Linked DNA regions of Macaca mulatta. The protein of the gene in region 5 interacts with the protein of the main gene of each other region in a biochemical or structural test. Links are inferred from orthologs where the notes say so. Each region holds a gene or a part of one and is shown on either strand. Other genes may lie near its edges.

Region 1 (5,976 bases), about 46 Mb from region 5:
TTCCCAAAACCCTACAGCACTCATTTCTCAGTTCTATTCCTGGCTCCCCACAAACTCTGCAAGCCGCCTGCACCCTGACTCACCACACTCCTTGATGGGTTCATCTGACCAGTCCCGGCAGTCTCTAGCCATGTTGCAGACTTTGTCCAGGCTGATGCATTCGCCGCTGTGACACTTGAACTTGTTGGGCCCCTCGCAGAGTGTCACTGTGACAGCCAGAGAGAGGAAGGAGGAAGGTCAGGTGTGTCTGACCTGCAGTCTGCTTGGCGCTCATTCATATAATAGTTTATTCACATAAGAACGCATGCAAATGGACTCATTAAGAAAGCGCATCGGGTCCGGGCGCGGTGGCTCAAGCCTGTAGTCCCAGCACTTTGGGAGGCTGAGGCGGGCGGATCACGAGGTCAGGAGATCGAGACCATCCTGGCTGACACGGTGAAACCCCGTCTCTACTAAAAAATACAAAAAACTAGCCGGGCGAGGTGGCGGGCGCCTGTAGTCCCAGCTACTGGGGAGGCTGAGGCAGGAGAGTTGCGTGAACCCGGGAGGCGGAGCCTGCAGTGAGCTGAGATCCGGCCACTGCACTCCAGCCTGGGCGGCAGAGCGAGACTCCGTCTCAAAAAAAAAAAAAAAAAAAAAAAAAAAGAAAGCGCATCGGGCACAGAGGTTTGCGCCTGTAATCCCAGCACTTTGGGAGGCCGAGGCAGGCAGATCGCTTGAGCCCAGGAGTTCGAGACAAGCCTGGGCAATATGGTAAAACCGCATCTCTACTAAAAATACAAAACAATGAGGCCTGGGGTGGTGGCTCATACCTGTAATCCCAGCACTTTGGGAGACCAAGGCAGGTGGATCACCTGAGGACAGGAGTTCAAGACCAGCCTGGCCAACATGGTGTAACCCTGTCTCTAATAAAAATACAAAAAATTAGCCTGGCATGGTGGCATATGCTTTGAATCTCAGCTACTCGGGAGGCTGAGGCAGGAGAATCACTGGAACCCCAGAGGCAGAGGCTGCCGTGAGCTGTGATTGTGCCACACTACTCCAGCCTGGGTGACAGAGCGAGGCTCCATCTAAAAACAAAGGAAGTGAGGCTCTGGGAACTCAGGTCACTTGCCCACAGACACACAGCTGGTGCAGAGTTGACCAGGGAAGTGCCCTCTGGCTTCACAAATCATTTGCAAGCAGTAAGGCACGGAGAATGGGGGATGGGAAAGCAGATGGCCAGCGCTCACCGTTAATGCAGCCAACTTCATCGCTCATGTCCTTGCAGTCATATTCCCGGTCACACTGCCGGCTGCCATGGATGCAAGTTCCATCAGAGCACTGGAATTCATCAGGGCGACAGGTGGCCACAGCTGGAAAACAGGACAGAGTGTGTTGATTTTCTCAAGAAGAGACAACCAGAGGCTGGGCGCAGTGGCTCAAGCCTGTAATCCCAGCACTTTGGGAGGCCGAGACAGGCGGATCACGAGGTCAGGAGATCGAGACCATCTTGGCTAACACGGTGAAACCCCGTCTCTACTAAAAAATACAAAAAACTAGCCAGGCGAGGTGGCGGGCGCCTGTAGTCCCAGCTACTCGGGAGGTTGAGGCAGGAGAATGGCGTAAACCCAGGAGGCGAAGCTTGCAGTGAGCCGAGATCCGGCCACTGCACTCCAGCCTGGGCAACAGAGCGAGACTCCGTCTCAAAAAAAAAAAAAAAAAAAAAAAAGAGGCTGGATGCGGCAGTGCACGCCTATAATCCCAGCACTTTGGGAGGCTAAGGCAGATGGATCATCTGAGGTCAAGAGTTTGCGACCAGCCTGACTACCATGGTGAAACCCCATCTCTACTAAATACAACAAAAAATAGCTGGACGTGGTGGTGCATGCCTGTAATCCAAACTACTTGGGAGGCTGAGACAGGAGAAACACTTATACCTGGGAAGCAGAGATTGCAGTGAGCCGAGATCGCGCCATTGCACTGCAGCCTGAGCAACAAGAGCGAAACTCCGTCTCAAAACAAAAACAAACAACAAAAAACAACCAGCACCTTCCAAACAGTGACTTCCCAATAAGCCAACAGGAACCATCACCTGGGGCCTCATGGATGCAGGAAATTTAGAGACGAAAAAAATCAGAGTGAGACTCCACCTCAAAAAAAGAAAAAAACATGAAATGGGAACCACTTTCTTGGCATGTTGTTCGAAATCCACTTCAGCACCTAAATCATCGCATGTCCCACACCCGGGGGAGCCCAGGGACAGGTGATAGGACGCCCCGCTCCCGCCCCAGGCCCCGCCCCTGTCCTTACGGCAATTCTCCTCGTCAGACTTGTCCTTGCAGTCGGGGCCTCCATCACAGCGCCAGCCAGAGTGGATGCACTCGCCACTTCGACAGTGGAACTCGAAGGCCGAGCAGGGGCTACTGTCCCTTTTGGGCACTTCAAGACCCTGACAGTGCTGAGGCCACTCATCCGAGCCATCTTCGCAGTCGGGGTCGTTGTCGCAGGCCCACAGCTGGGGGATGCAGGTGGAGCTGTTACACTGGAAGCTGGCAGGGCCGCAGGTAAGCACCGGGCAGGAGGCCTCGTCCGAGCCGTCCAAGCAGTCCCGGTCTGAGTCACAGACGAACTGCCGGTAGATGCATTTCCCATCGTGGCAGCGAAACTCGTCCTGGGAGCACGTCTTGGGGGCTGCAGGGATGGATGGGCCGTGACCACCGTCACCGTGAAGTCTCCCAACACTAGCCCATTCTATAGCCGGGGACGCTGCCACAGAAACGCCAGGCGCCTGGAGAGGCGGGCTGGGGAGCAGTCAGGGGCCATGGACTCTGAACCACTGCCCTCTCAGTGCCTCAGTTTCCTCATCTGTACACATCTCCCAGCACTGCTCTGAGGACTGGTGCGTTAATAGGTGTAAAGCTGTTAAACTGAGAACTGCAAGACGGTGGCACCATTTATAGAATTCCTGTCCTTATTTTGGGTTGAGTATCACTTCTCTAAAATGCTTGGGACCAGTGGTGCAGTGAGCCGAGACTGCACCACTGAACTCCAGCCTGGGCAACAGAGTGAGACTCGGTCTCAAAAAATTGAAGAAAAAAAAAAAAAAAGGCAGCTGTAGGTAAAGAAACGCAGATTTATTCGAGAAAGTAGGAAAATACCTTGCAAGAAAGCAATGAGCAGGTCAGCAAGGGAGGAGCTGACTGCCAGGAGACAAAGGCTTGCTGGGGATTTTTTTTTTTTTTTGAGAAGTCGTCTCACTCTTGTCCCCCAGGCTGGAGTGTGATGGCACGGTCTTAGCTCACCGCAACCTCCACCTCCCAGGTTCAAGCGATTCTCCTGCCTCAGTCTTCCAAGTAGCTGGGACTACAGGCACCTGCCACTATGCCTGGATAATTTTTGTGTATTTTTAGTAGGGACAGGGTTTTATGATTGTGGCCAGGCTGGTCTCAAACTCCTGACCTCAGATGATCAGCCCGCCTCAGCCTCCCAAAGTGCTGGGATTACAGGTGTGAGCCACCGCACCCGGCTGCTGGCTGGAGATTTTATAGAATGGTGCTTGTGCTGTGCGCTGAAGGGGGCGTTGTGCAGTCCCTATGATGCCAAGGTTGCAGTGCGCTAACCTGCAATTTTCTATCAGCCAACGTGTCTGCTGATACCTGGGCACAGGAAGATTGGGAGTTATTTACACAGGAGAGCTATGTGTTCTGGACCATGAAGAAAGGCAGACTTATATAGTTTATCTGCCTTCTTTTTTTTTTGAGACGGTGTCTCGCTGTGTTGCCCAGTCTGGAGTGCAGTGGTGCCATCTCGGTTCACTGCAAGCTCCACCTCCTGGATTCACACCATTCTCCTGCCTCAGCCTCCCGAGTAGCTGGGACTACAGACACCCGCCACCACACCCAGCTAATTTTTTGTATTTTTAGTAGAGAAGGGGTTTCACCGTGTTAGCCAGGATGGTCTTGATCTCCTGACCTCCTGATCCACCCACCTCGGCCTCCCAAAGTGCTGGGATTACAGGCATGAGCCACCATGCCCAGCCTTCTTTTTTTTTTTTTTTGATATAGATTTTCACTCTTGTCCCCCAGGCTGGAGTGCAATGGTGTGATCTTGGCTTACTGCAACCTCTGCCTCCCAGGTTCAAGTGATTCTCCTGTCTCAGCCTCCCGAGTAGCTGGGATTACAGGCACACACCACCATGCCTGGCTAATTTTTGTATTTTTAGTAGAGACGGGGTTTCACCATGTTGGCCAAGATGGTCTTGAACTCCTGACCTCAAGTGATTCACCCGCCTCAGCCTCTCAAAGGGTTGGGATTACAGGCGTGAGCCACTGCACTCGACTCTATCTGCCTTCTTTTATTGCTTTCCCTTGGTTTGACCAGCCTGGCTTTTTCCTAATTAGGACTCCACATTTAATGGTAAAAATTCGAAATCCAAAATGCTCCAATAAGCATTCTCTTCTAAATGTCAGTGCTCAAGACGTTTCAGAATTTTGGGTGCTCAAGACTTTGAATTTCGGGTTTTTGGATTTGGGATATGCCACTTGTATTAAGACAGCCAAGAAGATGCCCAGCTCCAAAGCCCATTTCCCTTTGGGATTCTTGGCCTTCCTCCTTGGCAGAACTTTCTAGCTTTTTCCCCTTCACGTTACCTGGGTCATTGAGGCGTGGCTAGCAAGTGTCACTATGTGTTCAGCCTCACGGGGCGGGGATCACGGCCACTGGGGATCACAGTGGCTTGCCAGTGTGTGTGCCAGGTGGCCAGCCCTCGGCAGGGATGGTGTCCCTGACTGTGCGCGACAAACCGAAGAGGTGGCACTATCCCTGGTCTGTAATGCCTCCTGGTCAGGGAGGGATTTGAGGGGCAGAAGAGGCTTGGTATGAGCCCCCAAGAGATGGAGCCCAGTTCAGGGCAGCTGCCTTGCAGCTTAAGCAGGACCCTGTAGAGACAGTCAGACCACTCCCCAGGACCCAGATGGGCTCAATAGTAAAGGCAGGGCCACACTTACGACAGTCTTGCTCATCTGATCCGTTCTCACAGTCCACTTCGCCATCACACCTCCAGAACTGAGGAATGCAGCGGTTGACACGGCCCCCGCAGCTGAAGTCCCCGGATTTGCAGGTGACAGACACTATAGAAGAGACAGGATTGACCTGTCACTCAAAGCAAAGACCCACTGAGGCTGAGCACAGTGGCTCACGCCTGTAATCCTAGCACTTTGGGAGGCCAAGGCGGGTAGATCACCTGAAGTCAGGGATTCAAGACCAGCCTGGTCAACATGTCAACATGGTGAAACCCCGTCTCGACTAAAAATACAAAAATTAGCTGGGCGTGGTGGTGGATGCCTGTAGTCCCAGCTACTTGGGAGGCTGAGGCGGGAGAATCACTTGAACCCAGGAGGCGGAGGTTGCAGTGAGCCGAGATCCCACCACTGCACTCCAGCCTGGGTGGCAGAGTGAGACTCCGTCACAAGACAGAAAAAAAAAGACGGCCGGGCGCGGTGGCTCAAGCCTGTAATCCCAGCACTTTGGGAGGCTGAGACAGGCGGATCACAAGGTCAGGAGATTGAGACCATCCTGGCTAACACGGTGAAACCCCGTCTCTACTAAAAAATACAAAAAAAAAACTAGCCGGGCGAGGTGGCGGGCGCCTGTAGTCCCAGCTACTGAGGAGGCTGAGGCAGGAGAATGGCGTGAACCCGGGAGGCGGAGCTTGCAGTGAGCTGAGATCCGGCCACTGCACTCCAGCCTGGGCGACAGAGCGAGACTCCGTCTCAAAAAAAAAAAAAAACAAAAGACCCACTGGCCTCGCCAATTCTCTCTTTGCAAAGGAAAACCCCAGAACTTTGAAGAGAATGCCAATCCCACTTTTTTTTTTTTTAAGTAGAGATGAAGTTTTTTTTTTTTTTTTTTTTTTTGAGACGGAGTCTCACGCTGTTGCCCAGACTGGAGTGCAGTGGCGCGATCTCGGCTCACTGCAAGCTCCGCCTCCTGGGT
Region 2 (5,976 bases), on a different chromosome or scaffold from region 5:
TGTAAGCCTCCTTTAGGACTGCTGTGGGACTTCGGGCTGTGACCAGAGAGAACCATCCTCGTGCCGCAAGCCAGACCAGCCACAAGACCTACTCTCTGCCCTGACACAGGGAGCCCCAAGGGGAAGTAGGGAAGGAGATGTCATCGCTTCAGTCCTAATCCTGTGCTTCAGGCCTTCTTCACAGCTGAACGGCCTCCTTAGATGCTAGAATCTGGTCTCTGTTGGGTCCCGGATGCTGAGGAAAGCCTTTCAAACCTTGGGAGGCCCCAGCAGGGCGGCGCCACACAGGCCACACGCGTCCCAGCGTGGGGGTGAGAGACACCTTGTGAGGGTGGGTTAGAAACCTCTTTACAAGCATTTCAAGATACATGCGTCCTTTTTTTTTTTTTTTTTTTTCTTTTCACTATCATAGTCACTCTGGTGAATCCAAGCATAAACAGACAAATCCAACTACAACGCAACAGGGTGCAGATGGGGAGGGCAGGGCAACATCTATGTATATGTTCAGCTGCTCCAGCAGAACAGACAGCATGGCTTCCAGCTGGGACCGGGGAGAAAACCATTTCGAAGGGGGTGTGTTCCCCTTTTTGGGATGTGGAGGGCTGATTCTACACATGTGGAGCTGAGCAGCGGGCTGGGCTGTCTGGGAGGCTGGCAGCCACAAGCTGGGGTGCAAGTGGGGGACAGCGGGACTGTGGGCCTGCCCTGGGTGCCTTGCCCGCCCATCCTGGTGCCGTCACCGACAACCAGGACACCCAGCCTCCTGCTGCGGGCTCAGCACAGGAAGAGGCCAGGCCTTCTCGGGGGGAAAGGGCTCTCTCTATGTCAACAAGGCAGAAACACCGAGGGTCACAGCTGAGCAGTGCCCTGGCTCACATCTGTGATGGGAGGAGGAGGCAGGGAACCGAATCAGGTCGTGAGATTCGTGGTGAGGGACCCAGTTGGATGAGTGGAACTGAGAGTGAGAGGCTGGGGTCCCACTCTTGTGCCTGGACTTTACCTTCCCTTAATTTCACCCTCAGTATGGAGTAGGTGCCTCCCACAGCCAACCAGGGTCCTTACTGAGAAGGGGGGTGGTGAGGCTGGGAATTTGGACATTGTGGCGTGATGAGGGGTATAGGCAGTGACTGGGTTCTCATGGCAGACGACAGCACAGTGGGGCAGACAGGGGTGACTGCAGTGGCCGTGGGAAGGACAGGGGGCTCGGGACCCACCTCCCAGACCCCTGCACACTCCAGAGATGCCGGTGGCCCAGGCTTGGAAACGGGTGGACGTCTCCCAAGAGGCACAAGTCTTTACAAAGAGAACTGGTTAGCCCTAAAGTCCCAGGTCTGCAAAGTGGCCAAAATCATGGCTGCAGTTCCAACCTTCAGAACTCAATAAAACAGGGTTTCTGTGGAGCAGAGGGAAGCCCCTCTGCTCAGGCCCCCTACCCTGCAGGGAGGGAGGAAGAGGCCAGCGCCCTCCGACATCAAGGTCAGTCTTTTCCAAGGAGGTCATCCACGGGGTGCCACCCTCCCGCCAGCTTGCCTTCTCTTCTTACCCGCCGCCCCTTCTCCCACAGGCTGCCCTGCAGAGGGTGGCACATCAACTCGCAGCAGACCCTGGCCACCAAGGACAGGCAGCCGCTCAGTCTGAGACACTGCAGGTGGCGGAGGCCTTGGCCCTCCCAGTGGCGCGGAGGAGGGCATCTCCTCTCCAGCATGTGGCTTCCTCTCCCACTCCCCCTTCTCGTCCTTCCTCTCCCCTCTGCCCAGCCCCTGCCTTGGCCTCCCCCATGGCCTCCCGCCCCACCCCCACCCGTCACACTCACACAAGGTTGACATCGTCTGCCTGTGGCTCCACGAACACACCAAGTTTCAAATCCTTTGTTGCTGCCGCTGCCTCTGTGACACCCCCACGACAGGGCCAGAGGCGGTGGGCACCCCCAGTCTCTTGAAATCCCCCCGAAGCAGCTTTCACAGCCTCTCCTTCTCCCTCTTCTACATGGAGGGGGAAAAAAAAAGAATCAAAAGGAATTGCCCGAGGAAATGTTGGGTGTGGCCATGTTTTTGAATGTTTTTTAAAAAATATTTTATTATTAGCCCACCGATCAATTTGGAAAGATGCAATTTGCTCTTATTCCCATCACTGATTTTGAAGTCCCGAGCCAAAGCCGAGCGATAAAAGCCGGTTAAGTGATGAACCGATTAACCGAACTGCGAGGAGCAGCTGGGGGCAGAGGGCGGGGCCGGGTCATTATTCTTTTTTTTTCCACACTCTCACTCTCTCTTCTCTCCACGATTATTGACCGCCCCGGGGGCCTGATCACAAACCCTGCTTGGCCAGGGAGGCAGACACCTCGTCGGCTAGCGTGGCGAGCTGGGGCGAGTCTACCATGTCGATGCTGCCGGTGGAGGAGACATTGCTGAGGTGCCGTGGAGACGTGTCCCCAGACACCACCGGCGACTTGTACACGATTTCCGCCCCGTGGTCTGTCTTGGCTTTGGCGTTCTCGCGGAAGGTCAGCTTGTGGGTTTCAATCTGCAAGGAGAAGAGGAAGGGAGGGAGGGTGAGATGAAGTGCCAGAGAAAGAGAGACCAGCCCTGCCAACTGCCCTGCCAGGCCTGGCCCACAGTGCCAGGGACTGTTGTTTATTTGTTTTTGAGACAGGGTCTTGCTCTATCACCCAGGCTAGAGTGAGGTGGTGCAATCTCACCTCACTGCAGCCTCAACCTCCCAGGCTCAGGTGATTCTCCCACCTCAGCCTCCCGGGTAGCTGGGATTACAGGTGCATTCCACCACACCTGGCTAGTTTTTTGTATTTTTAATAGAAACGGGGTTTCACTATGTTGCCCAGGCTGGTCTCGAACTCTTGGGCGGAAGCAATCTGCCCGCCTCGGCCTCTCAGAGTGCTGCCATTACAGGCGTGAGCCACTGTGCCTGGCCAGAAGCTGTTGTTTTTATTGTCTTCCAATTCGTAATCCCTGTGCCCACTCCTCCCCTGACCTGCCTCCCAGGCACCCAGGTACCCTCCCCAGAGACAGTGATCATTTTAAGTTTCTTGTGTATCCTGCAGAGATATTCCACACATAAACAAACACATGTGTGAGTGTATATGTACACAGGCTGCTTAGTATTCCGTCACCACGGATGTATCCAAAGGCGTCTACTCCTCTGTGAATGGATGCCTAGGCTGCTCCCGCCTTTAGTGATTACAGGCAATGGTGTGTATGAACAACCTCAGATAAATAACCCTGAATGAACATCATGTCACATACCTGTAAGTGTGTCCTAGAAGTGGAGCTCTTAGGTCAAAAGGCATGCGCATTTTATTTTGATAGATATTGCCAGATTGCAAAGGAAAATGTGGAAGGAGAAGCTGGAGAAGATCAAGGATGTCTCCCACAGCCACTGATGCCCAGACATGAGCCACACACATTCCTCCTGTTTGCCAGTGACTGATGAGTTTGGAGGGGCAGCAACTGTGGGCAGCACTGGCAGGTGGGCCACAAAACATGACATGACAAAGGCCTTTTTATGTGTGGGTGGGTGGATGGGTGATTTAGGATGGAGTCTGTCTAGCGACTTATCTATCCATCTATTATACATCCATCTATCTATCTATCTATCTATCTATCTATCTATCTATCTACCTATCTATCTATCATCTACCTATCTATCTACTTGCCCAGGCTGGCCTCAAATTCCTGGGCTCAAGCAATCTTCCCACCTGAACCTCCCGGGCAGCTGGGACTACAGGCTCATGCCACCGTGCCTGGCTGAAGCCCTTTTGAAAGTAGAGAAACAGGCCGGGCGCGGTGGCTCAAGCCTGTAATCCCAGCACTTTGGGAGGCCGAGATGGGCGGATCACGAGGTCAGGAGATCAAGACCATCCTGGCTAACACGGTGAAACCCCGTCTCTACTAAAAAAAAATACAAAAAACTAGCCGGGCGAGGTGGCGGGCGCCTGTAGTCCCAGCTACTCGGGAGGCTGAGGCAGGAGAATGGCGTGAACCCGGGAGGCGGAGCTTGCAGTGAGCTGAGATCCAGCCACTGCACTCCAGCCTGGGTGGCAGAGCGAGACTCCGTCTCAAAAAAAAAAAAAAGAAAAAAAAAGAAAGTAGAGAAACACATGACCTAGCCAGGAGCCCCGAAGGATACCAGGAAACGCGGACGCAGAAGGCGCTCACTGGAGAAGTGAGCAGCGCACAGGAATTCCTGATGACCCTGAAGCGGCCGACAGGGTTATCCTCAGCCCTTGTTGGGTCCTAGGCTCTTTGAGCATCTGGTAAAGCCAAAAATATGTGTGCACATGTCCACCCACGCTCACACCCACACAGCCATTTTCCATATAATTTTAGGAGTCCATGGATCCAGGCTGAAGGGCCCCTATTGCAGCAGGCTTGAATGGGCATAGAGAAAACCATGCTCCCGTTTAAGCTAGATGCATATTTTGTTCATTTGCAGTCACTACTTTGAAAAACAGATTGTTCTCTATTAGTGTATTTTCTTTTTCTTTTTCTTTTTTTTTTTTTTTTAGACAAAGTTTCACTCTTGTCACCCAGGCTGGAGTGCAGTGGCGCAATCTCAGCTCACTGCAACCTCCACCTCCCGGGATCAAGCAATTCTGCCTCGGCCTCCCGAGCAGCTGGGACTACAGGTGTGTGCCACCACACCCAGCTAATTTTTGTATTTTTTGTAGAGACGGGGTTCTGCTGCATTGGCCGGGCTGGTGTCGAACTCCTGATTTCAGGTGATCTGCCTGCCTTGGCCTCCCAAAGTGCTGGGGTTACAGGCGTGAGCCACCATGCCTGGCCTGTTACTGTATTTTCTTGAAAGACCATTTAATACAAGCTTTGATAAAAATATTTATGTTAATGTTTTTTGAAGTGTTTTTTAAGAGAAAGTTGACATTCCTGGGAATGTCCAAAAATCCCCAAACTGAAAGGAACCCAGGAGGCTGGTGGTGTGCCCCACTGCTTGTTAGCAATTTTTCTCAACACACGGAAAACGGGACTAACGCTGCGGGGATCCCTGGGACCAGGATGATGTTTTCTGAGTAGGGGCAGGGCCCTGCCCACCTTCCTGAGCCATCACATGGACAAGTTGGAAACAGAAGGAGCCAAGAAGCTGAGACTCAGCATGGCTCTAACTCAGGTTCTTAGAGGACTGCAACGCACCAGGAACCTTCCAGAACATTGTTTTTTTTGGGGGGGGGGGGTCTCACAACCACCCTGGGACGTAGGTACAGCATTTCCATTTCATCTTGCTGAAGGAGAAACTGAGGCTGAGAGGATTTGCGGATCTTGACTCTCCGAGCAGAGTCAAGCCCAGAGCTCTTCCTAACACAGAGAAGCTTCCAGAGACTGCAGCGGGCCTCCCTTCACCCAGGAAATCGCCAATGCCCATGCCCCTATCCCGACCCACTCAGTCAGACTGTGGGGACGGGGCCAGGCCCAGGTATCTTTAAAGCGCCCCAAGGCTGGGAGGCCCTGCCTTAGACCAGGGGCGGCCTGGGTGGTGGAAACAGCAGAGAAGCTGACTGCTTCCTCAGATAACTGGGCCCGGCCCCCACATCCCTTGAGGCGGGCAGCCTCCTGGTCCCCCGCTGTTTTCTCACTTTGGATAGTGACCCAGGCACTGAAAAGTATCCCTGTGTCCTGCATGGCACAACCTGAGAGCTCTCGGCCAGCTACTATGGACCAGTGCCCTCGCCAGCCTCAGGGCCTGTCTGGAGGTGAGGTCTGCCCCAGGCCACAGTTTACAGCATCTGCGGCAAACACTTCTCACAAAACTACATGGTTAGACATTTATCACAAACACAAGATGAGGGTGCCCATCTGTTCAGAACCAGATGCAGTGGCAAGAGGGGAGGGCGGAGACTGACCAGGGCAGGGGTCTCTCAGCTGCCACCTGAGTGGCCTGGTGGAGAGACAGCCTGGTTGCCACTTCCACCCGACTGGGCCACCTCGAGAAGCAAACTTCCTCACGCCG
Region 3 (6,547 bases), on a different chromosome or scaffold from region 5:
AAGAGAGGAAGAATGGGCAATGTGTCTATGTTGAGTGTGTGTGTGTGTCTGTGTCTATGCCTGTGGATGAGAGCGTGTGTGTCTATTCTTTTCCAAAGAATTCAAAGTGGTTTGTAAAATAACATGCAATTGAACACAATTCAAGATACAGAAAAGAGAGTCAGAGCTTGGGTGTATACCCCAAGGTGGAACTTTAGGAACAAGTAGGTAATAAGCATCAATTTCTTTATTCTTTCAGTATGTTTGTCATTTGATGGATGAACTGTATCAATGTTTCTGAGAGGTCAGTAGCAGCCCTCAAGCACTTTTCTCTGTCCTCAGTGTTCAGAGAGACCAAATGATCACATGAAGTAACTCTACCAAAGACTAATCTGTTGTTTCCATTTTAGGGCCACAAATAGGTCTCTTTATACACAGCACAGGGGCATATCAAAGTCATATTTTAAAAATCAGAATGGGTTAAAATTGACAAACATTATTCATGATGGTAAAAGAAATCACAGACCCAGCAATGATTTTGATTCTTAAGAATATTCTTGATTTTTTAAAAAGACAATGTATTTTTAAAACTGTTCTCTGAAATGTAATTATGTAGGCACAGAAGCATTCATTTTTCAAAAGTCCTAAATATTAGGGCAAAATTAAAAATATCGAAAAGGAAACAGCCGCATTTTTTACTATTAGCTCAAATACACACATTCACATTCACCTACCTACATATACCTCTGACTCAGTCCACCCTTTTGACAAGCAATGATGCAAAAATGAATCAAGAGAGAGAACTACCAGCATTTAGAGTATTGATTATCCTAACCCATCAGTCATGAACCAACACCAAAGTGACATTTGGGGTTTACCTACCTACATAGAGAACACCCTCTTTTGTCTTTCCTGCTGCTTCTGCCACACCCTGTTTGGTTTTCTCAGCAGCAGCCACAACTCCCTCCTTGGCCTTTGAAAGTCCTTTCATGAATACATCCATGGCTAATGAATTCCTTTACACCACACTGGAGAACATAAAATACACTTTGAATGAGAACTTTTGGGGGAAAATAAACAAAAAACACTGAAAAATCATGAGAAACCCTCCAAAGTGTGAGACTCTTTTAAGTGTACACTCATTTAACCATTGGACAAAGCAGACATTTTTAGCTCTGGCATTAAAAATTTAGCATCTCCCATCCATCTTGGCTAGTAAAAGTCTAGCCACCTAACCATGGATTAGGATGAATCCTCTGAGTTGTTAATACTGCATTTCAGAAGTGGAGTTGCATGAAAAGAGTCACTCCTGTTTTAACTTCCCGGGGTCTAAAGGGTAACAGTGTGAGTTAGAAGCATGGAAGCTGGAGGCTTAGGGTCTGGGGCATCCTTAACATGAATCCCAGAAGAAGGCTAACAGGTTGATGGTGGAGAGGCGTAGGCAAGAGAACTAACTACTCACTCTGGGTGTGGTTCAACCTCAGGCAAACAGCGAGCCCAAGGGTGCTGGTTCTAATACATCCGAGCATCCACCCCCGCCCTCAGATATCTACCCTGAGCAGGCGGCGCTCACACTCGCGGGCCGTCTCTAACCCTGCGCCAGCCACCCGAGGGGGCGTTCTCAGCATCCACCCTAGCGGACCCCGCGCCAGCACTTGTTAACCCTTTACCACCTGTTGACTTGGCCTCCCTGCACTTCCATTTCATTATTTGCCAAAGGCAGCTTGCTTACTTTACAGAGAAAAACCAAGAGAGCGGGCAGACGGATTTCAGGTAAGAGAGAAATAAAAGTTGGATGCTTACGCTCCAGGGAGCATCCTCGCGTTTCCCGGGGAAAAGCGGATCCCGGAGACGCATCCTAATCTCTCAGCCCTTGGGGAGAAGCCCTTGACAGGACGAAAGCCAGGTCAAGTCTCTTTCCTTAGGCTCCCCAAAGGGACAAGTACTCACCTCCCAGAGACCTGGCACAGCAGGTCCTCACCGCAGCACCACCCCCTCCTGGTGCCCACGACCATTCCTCTCCCACCCGGCTTTCTCCAGGATTTCCAAAGACGCCCGTTTAGATCCACAGGTACTTACCTGTGTCCCTCTGCTTCTCCACAACTCCGATTCCTCCCTACCTCTCTTTAAAAAAAAAAAAAATTAAACAATTCCCAAATAATATTTAATAGGGAAGAAGGAGGAAAAGGAGCGCACAGGAAGGGCGGAGGCGGCACCGGGAGGGGGACGGTCCCCAGAGGAGGCCGCTGTGAGCCGACGACGGGAGGCTGGGGGCGTGGGAGGCAAACCCGCTAACCTGTCGTCGAATGGCCACTCCCAGTTCTCCGCTCACGAGGATGGAGAAAAAGGCAGAAGGTTTGAAGGGAAGGCGTGAGGGAGCGCTCAGGACGCTCTCGGAGGGGCCGGGCCGGGGTCTGCGCTGCAGCCCGCACGCACCTCACTCCCGCGTCGCGGCGCTCGGTCGCTCGCCCCCTCTCTCGGGCCCCTTCTGGTCGTCGCCGTCCTCCTCCTCCTCGTCCTCCTCCTTCTCCTTCTCCTCGGCTCTCCGCCCCCACCGCTGATTTGTCAGCGCCTCTCCACGCTCCCCTCCCAGCGCTCGCTGCTTTCCCTGCAGCGTGCTCTTCGTTCCCTATCTCGGATGGGGATGGGGCAGGGGGCGCAGGGTGAACCACCAATTCCAGCCGCCTGCCTGGCCGCGCAAGGCGGGAAAGTGGGGGCGCTTTTGCGCCTCACCTCAAGTTCAGGGTCACGGGCACTCTTGTGGCGATTGGGAGCGGTTGGGCTTGGGCTGACGACTCTCCCTCTTTCCCATTCCCCTCCCTTCCTGTCCCCGCCTTTCCTCCGGGTCCTCCCTGGGACCACCCCCTACCCCTCGTCAGAGTCGACCTGGGAGAGCTGAGGGCCTGAGGGTCGACCACCCAGAGCAGAGCCTATCCTTTGGGGAGACAGGCAGCGCAGGGAGGTGGCTCACACCGCACCGCCGAGAGCACTTTGCCCTCGCATCGCTGACATTTAATCACGGTCACAGGCTACGTTAAGGGTCGCTTTAGTTCAAATATCCTCAAGATTTTCGTTTGCTCTTAATCCAGGTCGAGCTCGAAAGGGTCCCGCGGGTGAATCGGAGACTACTAAGGAAGAGTTACAGGTTGAGGAGGCAGGAGGAGGCTCAGCAAATCCTCTTCCCACCCCACTATCACCATTTTCCTTTCCACCAATCAGCGCCTGCCAGACGCTGATTTTCCCATCAGCGGAACGAGGAATAAATATTCCCCAGCCGTCTAAAACAAGCGGTCCTAAGGCTTTTCGCTCTAGAAATGGGACTTACTTTGCAGACCTAAGTGCATGGTCTGGTAGACAAATCCAGCGTGATTTACCCTACCAGACCATCATATCCAATTTCTTTTTCAGCCCCTTCTGAAAGGGAGATGCTACACGCCACTCACCTTTCTGACTTCTAATTCTCGTTGCCCTCAGAATTGACATCCCCTTTTCTCTCCCCCGACCCACCACATGCACAGACACACAGACGTACACACGCGAACCTCAAGACAATTTTTGCATCGCTTAACACATTTTCACCTCTTTCAGAACTGGAAGACAGCTATTCCTGGATCACACCAGAATGGAGAAGCAAGCTCCTCCCACTAGCAGAAAGCCTTTGCTTTCTGTGCCTGGATTCCGAAGATTAGTTAAGCACTGGTGGGGGCCGGCGGGGGGGGCGGGGACAACAGCTCGTTTTTGCTGTGTTTTTTAAAAATTGTTTTTATGTTTGTAGCTAATGCTTTGTCTGATTCTTGCACTCATTTGGATTCTGAAATTTGAGTAAAATCAAATGTAAACATACAAAACAACTTTAAAACCACAAGGAATAGTAAACAAATGATTATACATGAAAGACATATAGAAGATAATGCCTATGTGTTCAGTGGAAAATAGAAAAACATGAAAGTAAGATTACAAATTTTTATTACTTAAACTCTTCCTTGAACTATTGGTCTGCCCTTTGGAAAAACAGACTTTCCATAACGCAGTAGCTCATATTAATAGTTTGTGTTTGCTTAGGACCAGAGCAAGAAGGTTGGACTTGGGAGCTAGTTTGTTGTCTGGCTTGGAGACCTTGAACAAGTTATGTTCTCCTTCTGTTTCCAGTTTTATTTTTTGTAAATGAGGAGATGAACTCAGGTGATCGCCCTATATTCAACTTTTTGTTATGGGAAATATTCAAACATACGCAAAAGTAGAAAGAATAAAGGACTCCCATGTGAATATCACCCAACTTTTACATTTTTTCTATGCATGGCATATCATGTCTCATTCATAAGTCCACTCACTTTATCACTACCAATCCTCCCTATTTTTTTTCACAAAATTCAAGCTTTATATACATCTTTTCAACTGTAAACATTCAGTATGCATCCACAAAATTTAAGAACTGTTTAAAAATAACCACAATGTCATTAGACGATTCTTTTAAATTTCAGTGTAATTTACACCTAGTGAAATGCTCAGATGTTGTGTCCCTTTAAATCAGTTTTGAAAAAACCATGCATTGGTGTAACCCACACTATTTTGAAGACACAGGACATTTTCATCACTCCAGACAGTTACCTTGCACCCTTCATGTGCATATTCTAGAATGTCATAAAAGTCTAATCACGTAGTATAAACTTTTTTATATCTGTCTGACTTCTTTTACTCAGCATAGTATTTGTGAGGTGATTCATGTCATTGCATGAATCGGTGGTTTGTTTTTTATTGCTTTTTGTTGTTTCTTTTTATTATTGTTAATAGTGTAAGTTTTCCATTGTGTCTTATTACAACTAGTACTTCAATAGGCTATTACAACAATTATTTAATATATTATTTCATATGACATATTTATAGTATAACAGTGACCTCTTTGAGACCTGGTGCTTTGAGTCAAATAGGTAAATAAAATGCGATATTTTAGGTCTCATTACCAGACCAATGTGAGATAATTATTTTTGGACAGTTGCATTTCTTATAACATTTGACATGATTCTACACTTTTATATGGTAATTTGTTAGTACTTTCGCAAAGGACTAATGTACTATGTTATTTAGTCATAACAAGCAGATAAATTACATTTTATGTAGCTTTTACAGACAGAGAACCTGAGCTCCAAGAGCTTTGGTGATAGGCTGAGATCATCTAGCTTTTTTAAGTGGCAGAACTGTGACAATTTAGCAGAAACTGTTACAGAAGGCACAATTGTCTCCTGAATTAGCGATTTCTGTCTGAAGCCTCACAGATTGGGTGTGGTAAAGGGTGAGAATGAAAAGGGTAGAACCCAGCTGTGTTAGAAATAGCCTTCAAATTTGGATGTGACAATGGAAATCAAGATGAACTTATGTTATTATAAAACAGTTCATTCATATTTAAAGTTTTGCCTTTTGTATACTGGTATTTCTCAATAGGGGGAGACGCTTTCTCACTACCCACAAAAAAAGAAAACTGTAAACTAATTTCATTGTCATTTTGAACTACAACTATATGTTTAACTTTTTTCACTCCTCAAAATGCCTTGAACACAGTAAACATCCAATGAGCTTTTAATTACAAGTAATATTGATAGTGATACTGCATATGTTCTAGATCTGTGTTCTTAAGGAGGCAAAGCTGCTCAAGTTCAAAGAAGGGAACTAGAAGTTAAAATAAAGATTTTTTTATTTTTGTTTTCATTATTGATGTACGGCATTGTCTTCAGTCAATCTTTAGCCTCTCTGAATATAATGTTAAACTAACTGAATGGCTTGTACCCCATAAGAAATATGAAATAAGAACGTGGAAGCATTACTAGCATGCATGTTCTCTTCATAACTACCATATTCAAGTTTGGTTTTCTTTTTGCTAAGTGAGATATAAATATTTTACCACACCTTAATACGATTGTTTTATCTGGATTTAATTCATTAATTTTGCTCTAGATTAACATTCTGTGAAATATATGCTTAACCTAGACTTTGTCTACCTCCATAGAACAACTGAATTTTTAGGTATGGTATGTGGTAAACTTGTGCTATAGCAAAGACAGCAGAGTAGAATGGCATGAAAATAAAGACGCTGCCTACTAACAAATGATTAAAGAGAGGTCTGATTGAATGTGTTTAAGTGAAGACAATACAATCTTTACTGTGTTTGGATAATATTCCATATTTGTTGTGAACTCAAGGGGTGATGTAATGTTGATGCTGGAGCCACCTGCTTCTTATTCTCTATCTGCACCTTCCTCTCACCTTCTGTAAACGTATGAGAGAGATGAGGTAGTGAGATCTCGGTAGGCTTCTCCTGTAATTTCACAGTGGGTACAGTAGAGAAAGCCTAATGAGTACTATTGGGAGAGCATTATGTATGATTTTGGAAAGAGGGTGAATGTGAGATGGGGGAATAAGGTTACTCTGAAGAAATATGAAGAGCAATGAAGGAGCACAGTGTTCAGATTCTCTAATTTGACCCCATGGCCAACTTCATATTGTTTCCACTAGATATCATTTTAAATATTCCTGTGGTTTTGTGGTCCTAAGAATTTGAAAGCATGCAAGATGT
Region 4 (5,976 bases), on a different chromosome or scaffold from region 5:
GCTTCTTCCACTGTGCCCCCTCTGATCTTCAAAAATTGGTCAAGCAACTATTTTTTTTGGACTGGCCGAGGTTAAGGATCCTCAAGGCCGTCTGCTAACCCTCCTCATTTGCTCCATCTCATTTCCCATGTCTCCCCTTCATGAACAATTTGCCTCAGCAGCAATTCTGTCTGCTCTGCTCCAAACTTGATCGCTTTCTTCCACATGCCATTCATTGGTCTGTGACTAACCCATTTTTCTTCTTTGCTCCAACACCCAGCTTACAATTTGCAGCCTTCCCAAACCAGAAAGCCTTCTAGGATTGGCTGCGCCTGCCTTGGTTCATGCCCTCACTCACCAGCCCCTCAGACTTAGAGTGGCACTGCCCTACCTTGGACTTGACGACAGGCAGCTCGGAAAGAGGGTTCCTCGGGAGTTGGTGCAGCTGTGACCTTGGTTCCCCCGGCAAGACAAAAAGCTCCTTGAGGGCAGGGGCTGGGTCTTCCAGTTCTCTGGTCTCCCCAAGACAGGGCTCTGCCCACAGTGGGCGATCAAAGCTGCTGATTGCCTGACAGGGGGATGGCACTGTGGATGACCTCTGAGGTCACACTCAGCCCCCTGACTCTGCTGTATAACAGTGACACCTGTTGTGCCACTTCATGGTCCTCATTCCCCCAAAAAGCCATGCTGTGTTGTGCCTTTAAGCCTTTGCACATGCCTCTATCTGGAATGCCATTTCCCTCCTTCTCTCCTGGGAAAACTGCTATTAATCTTTCAAGGACATAGTCCATCTGTCACCTTCTCTGTGAGGCATTCCTTGCCTGATTCTCCAGACAGAATTCATAGCTCCCTTGTTGATGTTTCCATAGCATCTATTCAACAAATATTTGTTGGGAGTCAGCCATACTGTGCTAGACATCAGGAAAACAGATTAATCAGACAGTTCTGCCCTCAAGGATCTTAGGGTTTAGTGAGGAGACCACTGAGTAAAAGACAAGTGGACTACAGTGTGATAGGGGCTGTGAGGCAGAGAGGCCCGGAGGACTGTGGGAGAACAAAGCAAGCCAAGGATAGCTTTCTAGAAGAGGGGACTCCTGAGCTTCCACCACGGCACTCAGCACACAATTATACCACTGTATGTTAGTATCTCTAACTCCCTACCAACTTCTTGGGAGCAAGCACATTCCTTATTGACTTTTGAATACTTGATATCTAATGTGCTTGGCACATAACTGGCATACAGTATTGAAATGAATACATTTGAATTAAATGGCCACAGTTACCCTTCCAGGCCAAAGGTTCTGAAAATTTACTGAGCAGAAAGAGACATTTGGCTTTTTTACTGCCAGGAAAAGCCTCTAGGTACAAGGTGGTCCTGATACCTTTTTACCTTAACCACCTACCCCAGCATTTCTGTGTTCCCCAGGGCCTAGAACAGTGCCTGATACATGGTACGTTCTCGATAAATGTTTCAGGAAGGGAGGAAGGAGGAAGGGAAGGAGGGAGGAAAGGAAGGAAAGAAGGAAAGAAAAAAGACAGGGAGGGAGGGAAGGACAGAAGGAAGGAAGGGAGGGAGGGAAGGACAGAAGGAAGGAAGGGAGGGAAGAAAGGATGGGAAGGAAGAAAGGATGGGAGGAGAAGAAAGGATGGAAGGGAAGATGGTCAGAAGGTAGGAATTCTCCCAGTGAGAAATACTTACTGCAGGATAGACATGGCCAATCTGAGCAGTCCTCCCTATATGGAGCTCATCTTCATCTTCTTCTTCTGTTGTTTTCCTGTAGACTGGGTTGTCAAAATTCATGCTTTTGGTGTTCTTCCGCTTCCAGTTTCTCCAGATCAGGTATCCACTCATGCACAGCAGGGCTATCACCACTGGAGGAAGGACACAGGAGATTGGACCTCCAGCAGGCTCCAGCCCACTGCTCAGACATCAGTGCAAGGCTTGTCACCACTCCACCTTTCCTGCCCCTTGCTCCTCAGGCTCTGTTTCTGCATGTTCTTTTTCTGCTGTTTGAAAGCCCATCTCTCATCCCTTCTTTCCCTTATTAACTATTCATCCTTAAAGATCCTGCTCAAATGTGAAGTCTTCCCCAACTGTGGGCAGAGGCAGTTGCTCTCTCATGTGTGCTCCCAGATCACACACAGTATCTTACTTTATGTATCTGTACTCCCAACTAGATAGCTCTTTCAAGGCAGGGACTGTGTCTTTTTTTTTTTTTTTTTTTTTTTAACTCTTTATGCCCAGTTCCTAGCACTGAGTAGGTGCCTAGTAACGTGCTGAATGAATGAGTGAATTTTACCACACCTTTGCCCTAATGCTGCTGCTTCCCTACATTTCTCTAAGAAAACCATTCTCTCCCAAAACTGGGGGGTGGAGAGTGGGATGGGGCCAGGTACAGTGTTTATTTCCAAAGGTGAGGCTCCACCTGAAGAAGAACATCTCTAGAAGGAGACACAGAGGGCAACATAAGCTGTGATTTAGAATAAATGAATATGTTAATGATTAAAGGAGGAAGCTCTGTCCAACAGAGCTGGGTAAAAATGGAGCAAGTAGCTCGTAAGGTGGTTAGCAGTCACTCAGTATCCCAATGGAGGCTGAATGATCACCTATCTAGGATGGTATAGAAGGGGTTTCCGTTTTAGTAAGATTACAATAATTGATATGCACTAAAGACAGAAACAAGGCAGTTACCACTGGTAATATTTATTGTCCTAGAGATCTAGCTATGCAGTAAGGCCAGAAAAACATTTAAGAGTATAAATATGGGAAAGGAGGCCAGGTACAGTGGCTCACACCTGTAATCCCAACACTTTGGGAGGCTGAGGCAGGCAGATTACTTGAGGCCAGGAGTTCGAGACAGGCCTGGCCAACATGGTGAAAACCCATTTCTACAAAAAATATAAAGTAGCTGGGCATGGTGGTGGGCACCTGTAGTCCCAGCTACTCAGAAGGCTGAGGTGGGAGGATTGCTTGAACCTGGGAGGTCGAGACTGCAGTGAGCCACAGTAGTGCCACTGCACTCCAGCCTGGGCAACAGAGGGAGACCTTATCTCAAAATAAATAAATAAATAAATAAATAAATAAATAAGAGAAAGGAGGAAACCAAACTCTTATTAACAGCTATTTATATTTTTAGGAACTCTGAACCTGGTGAAAAACTATCAGAAATAATCTTAGTTAATCAAGAATCAACATAAAAGATCATTACCTTCTTTTTTAATCAGCAAGAACCAATTGGAAAATGTAACGAAGGCCAGACATGGTGGCTTACACATGTAATACCAACATTTTGGGAGGCTGAGGCAGGAAGATTGCTTGAACCCAGGAGTTCAAGACCAGCCTGGGCAAGATGGTGAGTGAGCCCTGGTCTTTACAAAAAAAAATAATTTAAAAAATTAGCCAGGTGTGGTGGTGCATGCCTGTAGTCCCAGCTACTCTAGTCCCAGCTACTCGGGATGCTGATGTGGGAGAATCCCTTGAGCCCAGGAGTTCAAGGATGCAGTGAACTGTGATTGCACCATTGCACTCCAGCCTGGGCAAGAGTGCAAGATCTTCTTGTCTCTTAAAAAAAAAAAAAAAAAAAAAAAAAAAAAAAAAGAGAAAGAACATGTAATGGAATAAAAATAAATTCATAATAGCCCATCAAAAAGCTATAAAATATAAAATACCTAGGAAAATCTAAGAAGAAATATGCAAGTCCTATGTGATCTATAAAGTTCTGCTGAAGGACATAAAAGAAGACTGAAATAAATAGATATGCCACATTTCTGGCTGGGAAGCTTTAATATAATAAAAATGTATATTCTCCTCACATAAACTCATATATCTAAAGCAATCTTGATAATTTCACCAAAATTTTTATAGAATTGATAAGGTTATTCTGAAGTTCACTTAGAAGAGAAACTGAATAAAAATAACTGAGAAGATGTTGTGAGTGTAACATATCATGAAGTTCTGCTAATAGTATGTAGGAATATATAAATCGGTGGAGGAAGATAAACTGCTTAGACACAAATCAAAGTATGTATGGGATGTAGTTTATAATAAAGATGACAGTGCAAGTCAGGAGAGAAGTATAGATTATTCAATGATGGTTTTGGGGAAACTAGACAGGTATATAGAGAAAAAACAAGTAAATTTCTACCTCATCCCATATTCTAAAATTTAAATTCCAAATAGGTTAATATCTAAGTACTAAAAAAAGTTTAAAGTAGAAAAGAAAAACATCAGAAGATATTTTAATAATTTAGAGTGAGGCAGGCCTTCTTAAGCGAAACACAAAACCCAGAAATCTTAAAAGATTGACAGATCTGATACTTAAAAGTTTTATATTTATGCATGGCAAAAGATACCATAAACAAACTTTAAAACCAAATGTCAGACTGGAAGAAAATATTTGTAGCATGTATTTTAAAGATTTAATATTCATCATGTATAAATATTTCTATAAATAAGAAAAAATAGCCAATAGAAAAATGAGAAAAGACTGTGAGTAGGCAGTTCATAACAGATAAAATATAAGTAAAGGGACTGATAAGCTTATGAAAAGATACTCTACCTCACAGGGACGTGTCAGGGAAATAATACTCATCTTTCATTCCTCAGATTAGCAGAAATTAAAAATATTGATTATTTCAGAGTGAGTTATGTCAGCAAAACAGCATACATCTGCCTCTTTCTATAGGGCAAAGGATGGCAAGAAAGGGGTGCATTTATCTTTCTCCACTCCAGTCAAAATAATCCTGGAATAGTCATCTCACTATCATCTTTCCTGGTGAAGCCTTTCAAGGCCAATTCAAATGCCGTCTTCTCCAGAAGCGCCACTTTTACTCTGGAATTACCTTTCTTTCAACCATCCCTTCACAGGAGTATCATGCCACTGTTACATTGTTCCTCTGTATCTACATCCAAAATGCCCCTATTTTAGCACATTATGACATGTATTAACATCTACCTCAAAGGACTTTATTTTTGCCTGATTAAACACTGAAAGCTCTTAAAGTCTTTATCTTTTTCTTCCCTGGATCCTTGGCACTTGGCATAGTGTCTCACACAGGGGAGAAGTTTTTAAAACATTTGCTGACTAACTCACCATACTGAAGATTCCCAGGATAAAAGGACAAAGTTCCTGTCCTTGAAGTACTCATAGCCAAGTAAGGGAGATAAAGCTCTGAATGGACAATCAGAATGCAAAGATACTGCTAAGAGATGAGACTGCTAAGAGAGGGGTGTACAGGATACTGTGTGGACTTCGGGGTGGAAGAGAATGAATCAGCCCCCTTGATTCTCTGTGAGGGCTTAACCAAGTGTTATATTCTGGCCGTACTCATCTCCTTCTAGCTCTAAAACCACCCCACCCTGACCCTTCCAGGCCATTTCCTACTCCTGGCTTTATTCATGCTGTCTTCACTGCTTGGACTGCTCTTGATCCTCCTTCACTTGGCTGACCCAGCTCAAATATCACTTCCGTTAGGAAACCTCCTCTGCCCTCTTCCCCTCTCCCTCAGCCCAAGCTAAGTGTATCCTCAGCACTGTCTCTGAAGTCAGTGCATGCAGCTTAACCTTAGGACCCACCAGGTCATAACAAACTTACCTGTGTTATGTGGGTCTCTCCAACAAGACTATAAACTTTTATAGGACAGAACCATGTCTTATTCATCTTTAACTGCCTTTCCTCCTGTTATCACAGAGTTTGGCACATAGTAGCTGCTTAATAAATACTTGTTGAAAACCAAACAGAAAGAAAACAAGACAGTATGACCTATTAAAGGAACGGTAAGCAGCTCTATTCATTAATTCAACAAATCCTTGATTTCCTACCATGTGCCAGACATTGCTAGGAGCTGGGGAGAATGGTGAGCAAGATACCAGCCCTATTCCTAGGGATCATACAGTCACACTTCACGTGGCTGGAGTGTAGAGTGTGAATCGAGGGGTGGGGAGATGGGGGATGCACCTGGAAGGTCACCTGGGGCCAGATCCTGAAGAGCCTTGTG
Region 5 (6,432 bases):
CGCTGGGCACAGGGGCGGTGCTGGCGCCCACGGCAGCCTGCACCTTCTCCACCAGCCCAGCCCACTGGCGCTGCATATCTTCCACCAGGGGCTCGAACCAGCTCTTGAGGCGGGCCTGGAAGGCCTCGGCCTGCAGGCTTATCTGCTGGGCCTGTTCCTCCAGCTTGGCGCGCACCTCCGCCACCTGCTCCTTCACCTCGTCCAGGCGGTCGCGGGTCCGGCTGCCCATCTCCTCCATCCGTGCGCGAAGCCGCTCACCCAAGGCCTGGGCCCGCTCCTGAAGCGGCTGGCTGGCCAGGGAGCCCACAGTGGCGGCCCGCACGCGGCCCTGCTCCACCAGGGGTCCCAGGCGCTCGCGGATGGCGCTGACCCCGCGCTCGGCGCCCTCGCGGGCCCCGGCCTGATACACTGCCAGGCGCTTCTGCAGGTCATCAGCATCGCGGAGGAGCCGCTTGCGCAGCTTGCGCAGGTGGGAGGCGAGGCGCGCCCGCAGCTCCTCGGTACTCTGGCCCAGCATGGCCTGCACCTCGCTGCGGTACTGCACCAGGCGGCTGCGCACGTCCTCCATGTCGGCACCCAGCCGGGCCTGCGCCGCCTGCAGCTCCTTGGACAGCCGTGCCCGCGTCTCCTCCGCCACCGGGCTCAGCTGTTCCTCCAGTTCCGATTTGTAGGCCTTCAACTCCTTCATGGTCTCATCCATCAGCGTCCTGCAGCCGAAAGAGCAGGAGGGTGTGCGCACAGGGGGAGGCGAGAAGGGCTGGGATAGGTGTGGGTGAGATGGGGATCAGCCAGAGAGACCCGAGAAGGAAGAGAGGAGAGTCTCCTAAGGAGAACAGGGAGAGACAGAAGGGCAGTGAACCAAGAGAGAAGGAACGGGACAGAGGCAGAGAGGAGACAAAGACAGACGCAGAGAGCAGAGGCAGAGACGAAGAAAGAGCTAGGAGGCCGGGCAAGGTGGCTCATGTCTTTATTCCCAGCACTTTGGGAGGCGAGGTGGGAGGATCGCTTGAGCCCAGAAGTTCAAGACCAGCCTGGGCAACACAGTGAGACCCCATCTCTCTGTCTCTATATAAAAGAGCTAGTGAAGGACAGAGACAGAGCCAGGACGAGTGTGAGAGGCTGAGTCAGAAGGGAAGAGGGAGAAACAGAACTGAGAGAGAGAATTCCAGAGAGCTAAAGCCAGGAGTCAGAAATGGGAAGAGGAAGCTAGAACCAGCAGAGACCCAGGACTCCCAAGACTTAGTGGCAGGGGCAGAATGAAACCTGGACCTGGGGAGGTATAGCCGCCCACCAGAAGGGTCAAGGGCCGGGATGGGGACACTCACGTCAGTTCCTGGGTGACCTGGGGGCTGAGCAGCTCCTCCTGCACCTGCTCAGACAGTGTCTGCACCCAGCGCAGGTAATCCCAAAAGCGACCCAGTGCCAGCTCCCAGGGCTGGCCGCTCTGCCCCTCAGCCTGCTGGCGAAGCTCGGGTTCCGTCTCTGGCTCCACCGGTTGCTCCACCTTGGCCTGGCATCCTGTGTGGAACAAGTTGAAGGTGGTTCAGGTTCCTTCTGACCCCGTCCAGGCACCTAGTACCTAGGGGCACACAGAAGGTGCTCCACAAATGCTGCTTTGGAGCCATGGTGGGCAGGGTGAGGGGGGAGTCTGTTTAATCACTTGAAAAGCGTTATTTATTTACAGACAGGGTCTTGCTCTGTCACCCAGGCTGGATTGCAGTGGCCTGAACATGGTTCACTGCAACCTTGACCTTCTGGGCTCAAGCAATCCTCCTGCCTCAGCCTCCTGAGTAGCTGGGACCACAGGTGTGTGGCACCAGGCCTGGCTAATTTTTGTATTTTTAGTAGAGACAGAGTCTCACTATGTTGCCGAGTCTGGTGTTGAACTCCTGGGCTCAAGTGATCCTCCCACCTTGGCCTCCCAAAATGCTGGGATTACAGGGGTGAGCCACCGTGCCTAGCGGAAAAGCATGTATTGAGTGTCCTTGTGTGTCCCAGGCAGGGCTGTGTGGGGTGATGGAGAATAAAGATCACAGCTGTCCCGTGTCTGGTATTCTAATGCAATGCATTAGAAGCCTCTTAACTCCCAGCTGGGCGCGGTGGCCCATGCCTGTAATCCCAGCACTTTGGGAGGTTGAAGCAGGCAGATCACCTGAGGTCAGGAGTTCCAGACCAGCCTGGCCAACATGGTGAAACCCCGTCTCTACTAAAAATACAAAAAAAGTTAGTCAGGTGTGGTGGCATGTTCCTGTAGTCCCAGCTACTCCGGAGGCTGAGGCAGGAGAATGGCATGAACCTGGGAGGGGGAGCTTGCAGTGAGCTGAGATCCTGCCACTGAACTGCAGCCTGGGAGCCACCGCACTCCAGCCTGGGCGACAGAGGGACTTCATCTCAAAACAAAACAAAAACAAAAACTTCTAACTCCTATATTAAGGATGGGGAGGCCGGGCGCGGTGGCTCACGCCTGTAATTCCAGCACTTTGGGAGGCCAAGGCGGGCAGATCACGAGGTCAGGAGATAGAGACCATCCTGGATAATACAGTGAAACCCCTTCTCTACTCAAAGTACAAAAAATTAGCCGGGCATGGTGGCGGGCGCCTGTAGTCCCAGCTACTCGGGAGGCTGAGGCGGGAGAATAGCGTGAACCCGGGAGGCGGAGCTTGCAGTGAGCTGAGATTGTGCCACTGCACTCCAGCCGGGGCGACAGAGTGAGACTCTGGCTCAAAAAAAAAAAAAAAAAAAAAAAAAGCGGGGGCAGGAAACCGAGGCTCACAGAGCGTCAAATCGCTGTTCTGAGCCAGAAAGCAGCATAGAAGCCTCAGACCTGGGCTTTCCCCTCAAGGGGAAGACAGACCAGCAGAAGAAGAGGGGGCCCGAGGTCTGCCTGAATGGGGCCAGGAGGTTGAGGTGAGGATGAGAGGGGGAGGAGCAGGGAAACCGAGCAAGCCCCGCCCCCATACCTGCCAGGAATGTGACCAGCAACGCAGCCCACAGAACCTTCATCTTCCTGCCTGTGATTGGCCAGTCTGGGGAGGGAGAAACAGTCAATCAACCGCCAGTAAGGACTCCTCCCACTCCCAGCCCGACCCCAACCCGGCCCCACCCCAGGTTAGCCTTCCAAGCCTAGTTCCATTATCTGCAACAGCCTAATCCTAGCACAAACAGTTACCAAGCCGCCCCCAACCCATTCCCTATTTAACTCCCTCCTGGTCTTCTCTTATTTCCCCATCCCCAGGTCGGCCTCCATAGTCAAAATTCCATCTTTCTCTCCCGGGGTTCAAATTCCACACCCCCTCCCCCTCCCCACCGCCGGTTCCATCTCAGTCCCAGTCTCGCATTCCTCATTCTCCCTTCACATTCTAAGCTCTAACCTCACATTTAAGCGCCGTTTTCCATTTATGAGCTAATTCAGTCCTCATTTTAAAGTTCTCCAATCGACGGCTAGCTACCGTGTCGCTGCCCCTGGCTTCCCTGTTATGGAGATCTGAGGACACTGGGGACACCCAGTAGGTGCTCGATAAATGACAGTGACAACTCGTGGGGGTCCTGCTGTGGCTTAGCTCCTAGTCCACATGCTCTGCCCACCCCACCTTCTAGCGGGTCGGGTCGTCTCTGCTGCCCAGCCCTTACCAGGTCCAGTCCCCTGCTGCTGGCCTCACCCCCGCTCCTCCTATCCCCAAGCCCGACCTCGAGTAGCTCTCCTGAGACTACCTGGAGGCCAGGGCTTCCCGAGGTCCCAGCTACATCTTTCTAGAGGCCCCTGAGCTCATCCCCGTGCCCCCGACTGCGCTTCTCACCGGCTCCTGGGGAAGAACGTCCTTCACCTCCGCTGGGGCTGAGTAGGACTCAAGGATCCCAGACTTGTCCAATTATAGGGCTCCCCCTGTCCCGCCCCCTCCTCCAGGGATAGGGCGGGCTGGGCCAGCCCCCAGTCACGAGGTGGGCTGTTCTCCCCCTGCCCCAGGCACAGCAGGGCAGAGGGAGGAGGTGGGGCATAGAGGCCTTTTGACCACCCCCCACAGTCCCCAGGAAGTGAGGACACCTCGCCCAGTAATCCAGACACCCTCCTCCATTCTGGGGGCCAAGCGTCGAAGGGGAATGTGCAGGCTGCCGCCCAGAGTCCTCCTTCCCTGACCCTGTCCTTTCCTGTGCCTGGATGAATGCAATCTGGAGAGGGGGCTGGGGATCTGGACTCCTGGATCCCAGAAAGAAAGTAGGGATAGGGGGCTGGACAGAAGTGGGATGGGAGGGGCTGGGCGCGGTAGCTCACGCCTGTAATCCCAGCACTTTGGGAGGCCACGGTGGGCGGAACACTTAAGGTCAGGAGTTTGAGACCGGCCTGGCCAACATGGTGAAACCCCATCACTACTAAAAATACAAAAATTAGCCAGGCGTGGTGGCGGGCGCATGTAATCCTAGCTACTTGGGAGGCTGAGGCAGGAGAATCACTTGAACCCGGGAGGTGGAAGTTACAGTGAGCCGAAGTCTCGCCACTGCACTCCAGCCTGAGCAAGAGTGATGCTTTCTAAAAAGAAAAACAAAAAAAGAAAAAGAAAAAAGAAAAGAAAGTGGTGCTAGGCGACTGGACAGAAGTGGGATGGGAGGGGGGTGGGAACAGTGTGGTGCATCTGCTAAAAGTCTAGGCTTTGCGAGTGGGACCTGGGTTTTAATCATAGCTTCCTCTTTGGTTGTGACCTTGAGCACAGGGGACCCACCCCTCCCCACGTGTAAAATGAGATTCCAGCACCTCCCCCTGGCTGCCACAGGCATTGTGGTTTCCAGGGTCTTGAAGCTGTGCTTCTGGGTTAAGGTTAGGATTCTGGAGTCAAACTGCCAGGGCTTGAATCCTGACTCTGCCAGTTGCCAGCTGTGTGACCTTGGGCAAATGACTTGTCCTCTCTGAGCATCGGGTTCCTTTGCTCATCAGACTGGGAAAGCAGTGACACGGATATGTTTGGTGACAAGCTAACGTGTATGGAGCACGGAGGACAGCCTTGGCACAGTGGTCCTGTTAGGGCTAGCAATGGACAGGCCGCAGTGAGCGCTCAGATGCTGTCTTTTTCCTAACAGCCCTGTTATAAATCCCAGATGTTTCAGAGGAGAAACCCGTGGTTCAGCAGCGAGATGAATGGCAAAGTCACACATCGAGAACTGGAGTGGGTGGGATCAGAGGATTCTGCGAGTCAGGGGAGGCTGGACTCCTGGTCCCGGGAAGGAACCCCCAGTGCCAGGCCGGGCCTGTTTGCTTTGGCTGGCAGGGGGTGGCTGAGGTGGCTTCTGTGGGTAACTTGGGGTCAGCTCTACTCAGCAGCCTCCCTCCCTAGACCCTGGGGGTAGACAGGGTTTCAGTTCCCGGAGGCTCGGGAGTGGTGCTGGTGGTGTTGGGTGTCAGCTGACACCAGCCCTAGGTTGGCAAAATCCAGACAGCACCACATCCTCAGACATAGGTGACCCAACCCCCATGGCTGCACAAGGAGCCTAGTCTGGCCTAGGCCCCTCCTCTCATGCCTGCAAGTCCTTGAGCCCCTTCTTCCCGACACAGCAGTTCCTAGTACCCTAGTTGTTCTGAAGCTGTTCCAGTAGCTTGAACCTTCTCCCAGCTCCCTGCCCCCCCATGTCTGCACTCAGAGTGTGTCATCTCTGCTGCTGCAGTTTGCAGGGACAAAGTCTTCTATAGCCACTCCGGCCAGGTCAAGCTGGGGCGAGTGACCTTGAGACCCTACCCTCGGACGACAGAAGGCCCGAGGTGTCCCCCAGCAGGGAAGATGTTCCGGATGGGGAGACCGCGATCCCGGGCCACGCTGCGCCCCTCTGAGCCGGACTCAATGCAGCGTCAAGCCAGGCAGTGGTGCGGCTCCGCTGCTTTCCGTGCTCCGGCCCTCTGGCGCCCCCTGCAGGCGGCCGGGGGAAGGTCAGGGCGGCCGGACTCTGGATGAAATGCTCCAAACAGGCCAGGCACACTTGAGAAAACGGAGGCCTCCCATCTTTTTTTTTTTCCCACATATATTTTTTGTTGTTTTTTGTTTTTTTCTGTAAAATGTCCCGGTTCTTCCATAACTTATAAACATGATTTATACCGAGGAGTAGATGGGAAAGTGGACAGGGCAGGATGGACTGACAGGGGATGGGGAAGCTCCTCTCGCTGCCCCCTCGGGGCGGGCCCAAGCCCTTTGGAGGATGGGGACGCCAGGACACTCCTCCCTGAGGTTGTCTGGCCGCCTCTGCCCCTGGTGCTCAGAATCCTGCGTGCCCCTCAATTCCGGAATCCTTCCCGGGACCCCAGGCCCACTGGGCACGCTGCCCCTAGTACTCAGAATCCCGAAGCGCCATTCGGTTCCAGAATCCCCTCCTCAGCTGCTGGGGTGGCGGGGTCCCTCCTTTCCGATGTCCCCCCCGACCCCCAAGGGGGGAGGGAAGGGAGGGGGGCTCAGG

Evidence for each region.
Region 1: the proteins of APOE (region 5) and LDLR interact in a biophysical measurement, tested with the Homo sapiens proteins (2 studies listed by IntAct). The link is inferred for Macaca mulatta from reciprocal best matches to the Homo sapiens genes APOE and LDLR.
Region 2: the proteins of APOE (region 5) and MAPT form a complex in vitro, tested with the Homo sapiens proteins (2 studies listed by BioGRID, with this or other methods). The link is inferred for Macaca mulatta from reciprocal best matches to the Homo sapiens genes APOE and MAPT.
Region 3: the proteins of APOE (region 5) and SNCA form a complex in vitro, tested with the Homo sapiens proteins (2 studies listed by BioGRID and IntAct). The link is inferred for Macaca mulatta from reciprocal best matches to the Homo sapiens genes APOE and SNCA.
Region 4: the proteins of APOE (region 5) and LRP8 form a complex in vitro, tested with the Homo sapiens proteins (2 studies listed by BioGRID). The link is inferred for Macaca mulatta from reciprocal best matches to the Homo sapiens genes APOE and LRP8.

The regions. Positions count from the first base shown.
Region 1 is NC_133424.1:11,836,555-11,842,530, reverse strand, and holds part of LDLR (low-density lipoprotein receptor), read right to left. Parts: intron 5,112-5,976; coding exon 4,989-5,111; intron 2,674-4,988; coding exon 2,293-2,673; intron 1,356-2,292; coding exon 1,233-1,355; intron 207-1,232; coding exon 84-206; intron 1-83.
Region 2 is NC_133421.1:70,921,712-70,927,687, reverse strand, and holds part of MAPT (microtubule-associated protein tau), read right to left. Parts: intron 2,524-5,976; coding exon 2,308-2,523; 3' UTR 1,368-2,307; coding exon of another isoform or gene 1,296-1,367; 3' UTR 1-1,295. UniProt on the Homo sapiens protein: Promotes microtubule assembly and stability, and might be involved in the establishment and maintenance of neuronal polarity.
Region 3 is NC_133410.1:99,153,742-99,160,288, forward strand, and holds the start of SNCA (alpha-synuclein), read right to left. Parts: upstream 3,612-6,547; 5' UTR 3,423-3,611; intron 2,779-3,422; exon of another isoform or gene 2,713-2,778; intron 2,480-2,712; exon of another isoform or gene 2,276-2,479; intron 2,104-2,275; exon of another isoform or gene 2,059-2,103; intron 1,576-2,058; exon of another isoform or gene 1,442-1,575; intron 1,008-1,441; 5' UTR 983-1,007; coding exon 862-982; intron 1-861. UniProt on the Homo sapiens protein: Neuronal protein that plays several roles in synaptic activity such as regulation of synaptic vesicle trafficking and subsequent neurotransmitter release.
Region 4 is NC_133406.1:187,353,711-187,359,686, reverse strand, and holds part of LRP8 (low-density lipoprotein receptor-related protein 8), read right to left. Parts: intron 1,852-5,976; coding exon 1,679-1,851; intron 548-1,678; coding exon 371-547; intron 1-370. UniProt on the Homo sapiens protein: Cell surface receptor for Reelin (RELN) and apolipoprotein E (apoE)-containing ligands. LRP8 participates in transmitting the extracellular Reelin signal to intracellular signaling processes, by binding to DAB1 on its cytoplasmic tail.
Region 5 is NC_133424.1:57,409,545-57,415,976, reverse strand, and holds the start of APOE (apolipoprotein E), read right to left. Parts: upstream 3,844-6,432; 5' UTR 3,591-3,843; intron 3,027-3,590; 5' UTR 3,004-3,026; coding exon 2,961-3,003; intron 1,519-2,960; coding exon 1,326-1,518; intron 708-1,325; coding exon 1-707. UniProt on the Homo sapiens protein: APOE is an apolipoprotein, a protein associating with lipid particles, that mainly functions in lipoprotein-mediated lipid transport between organs via the plasma and interstitial fluids.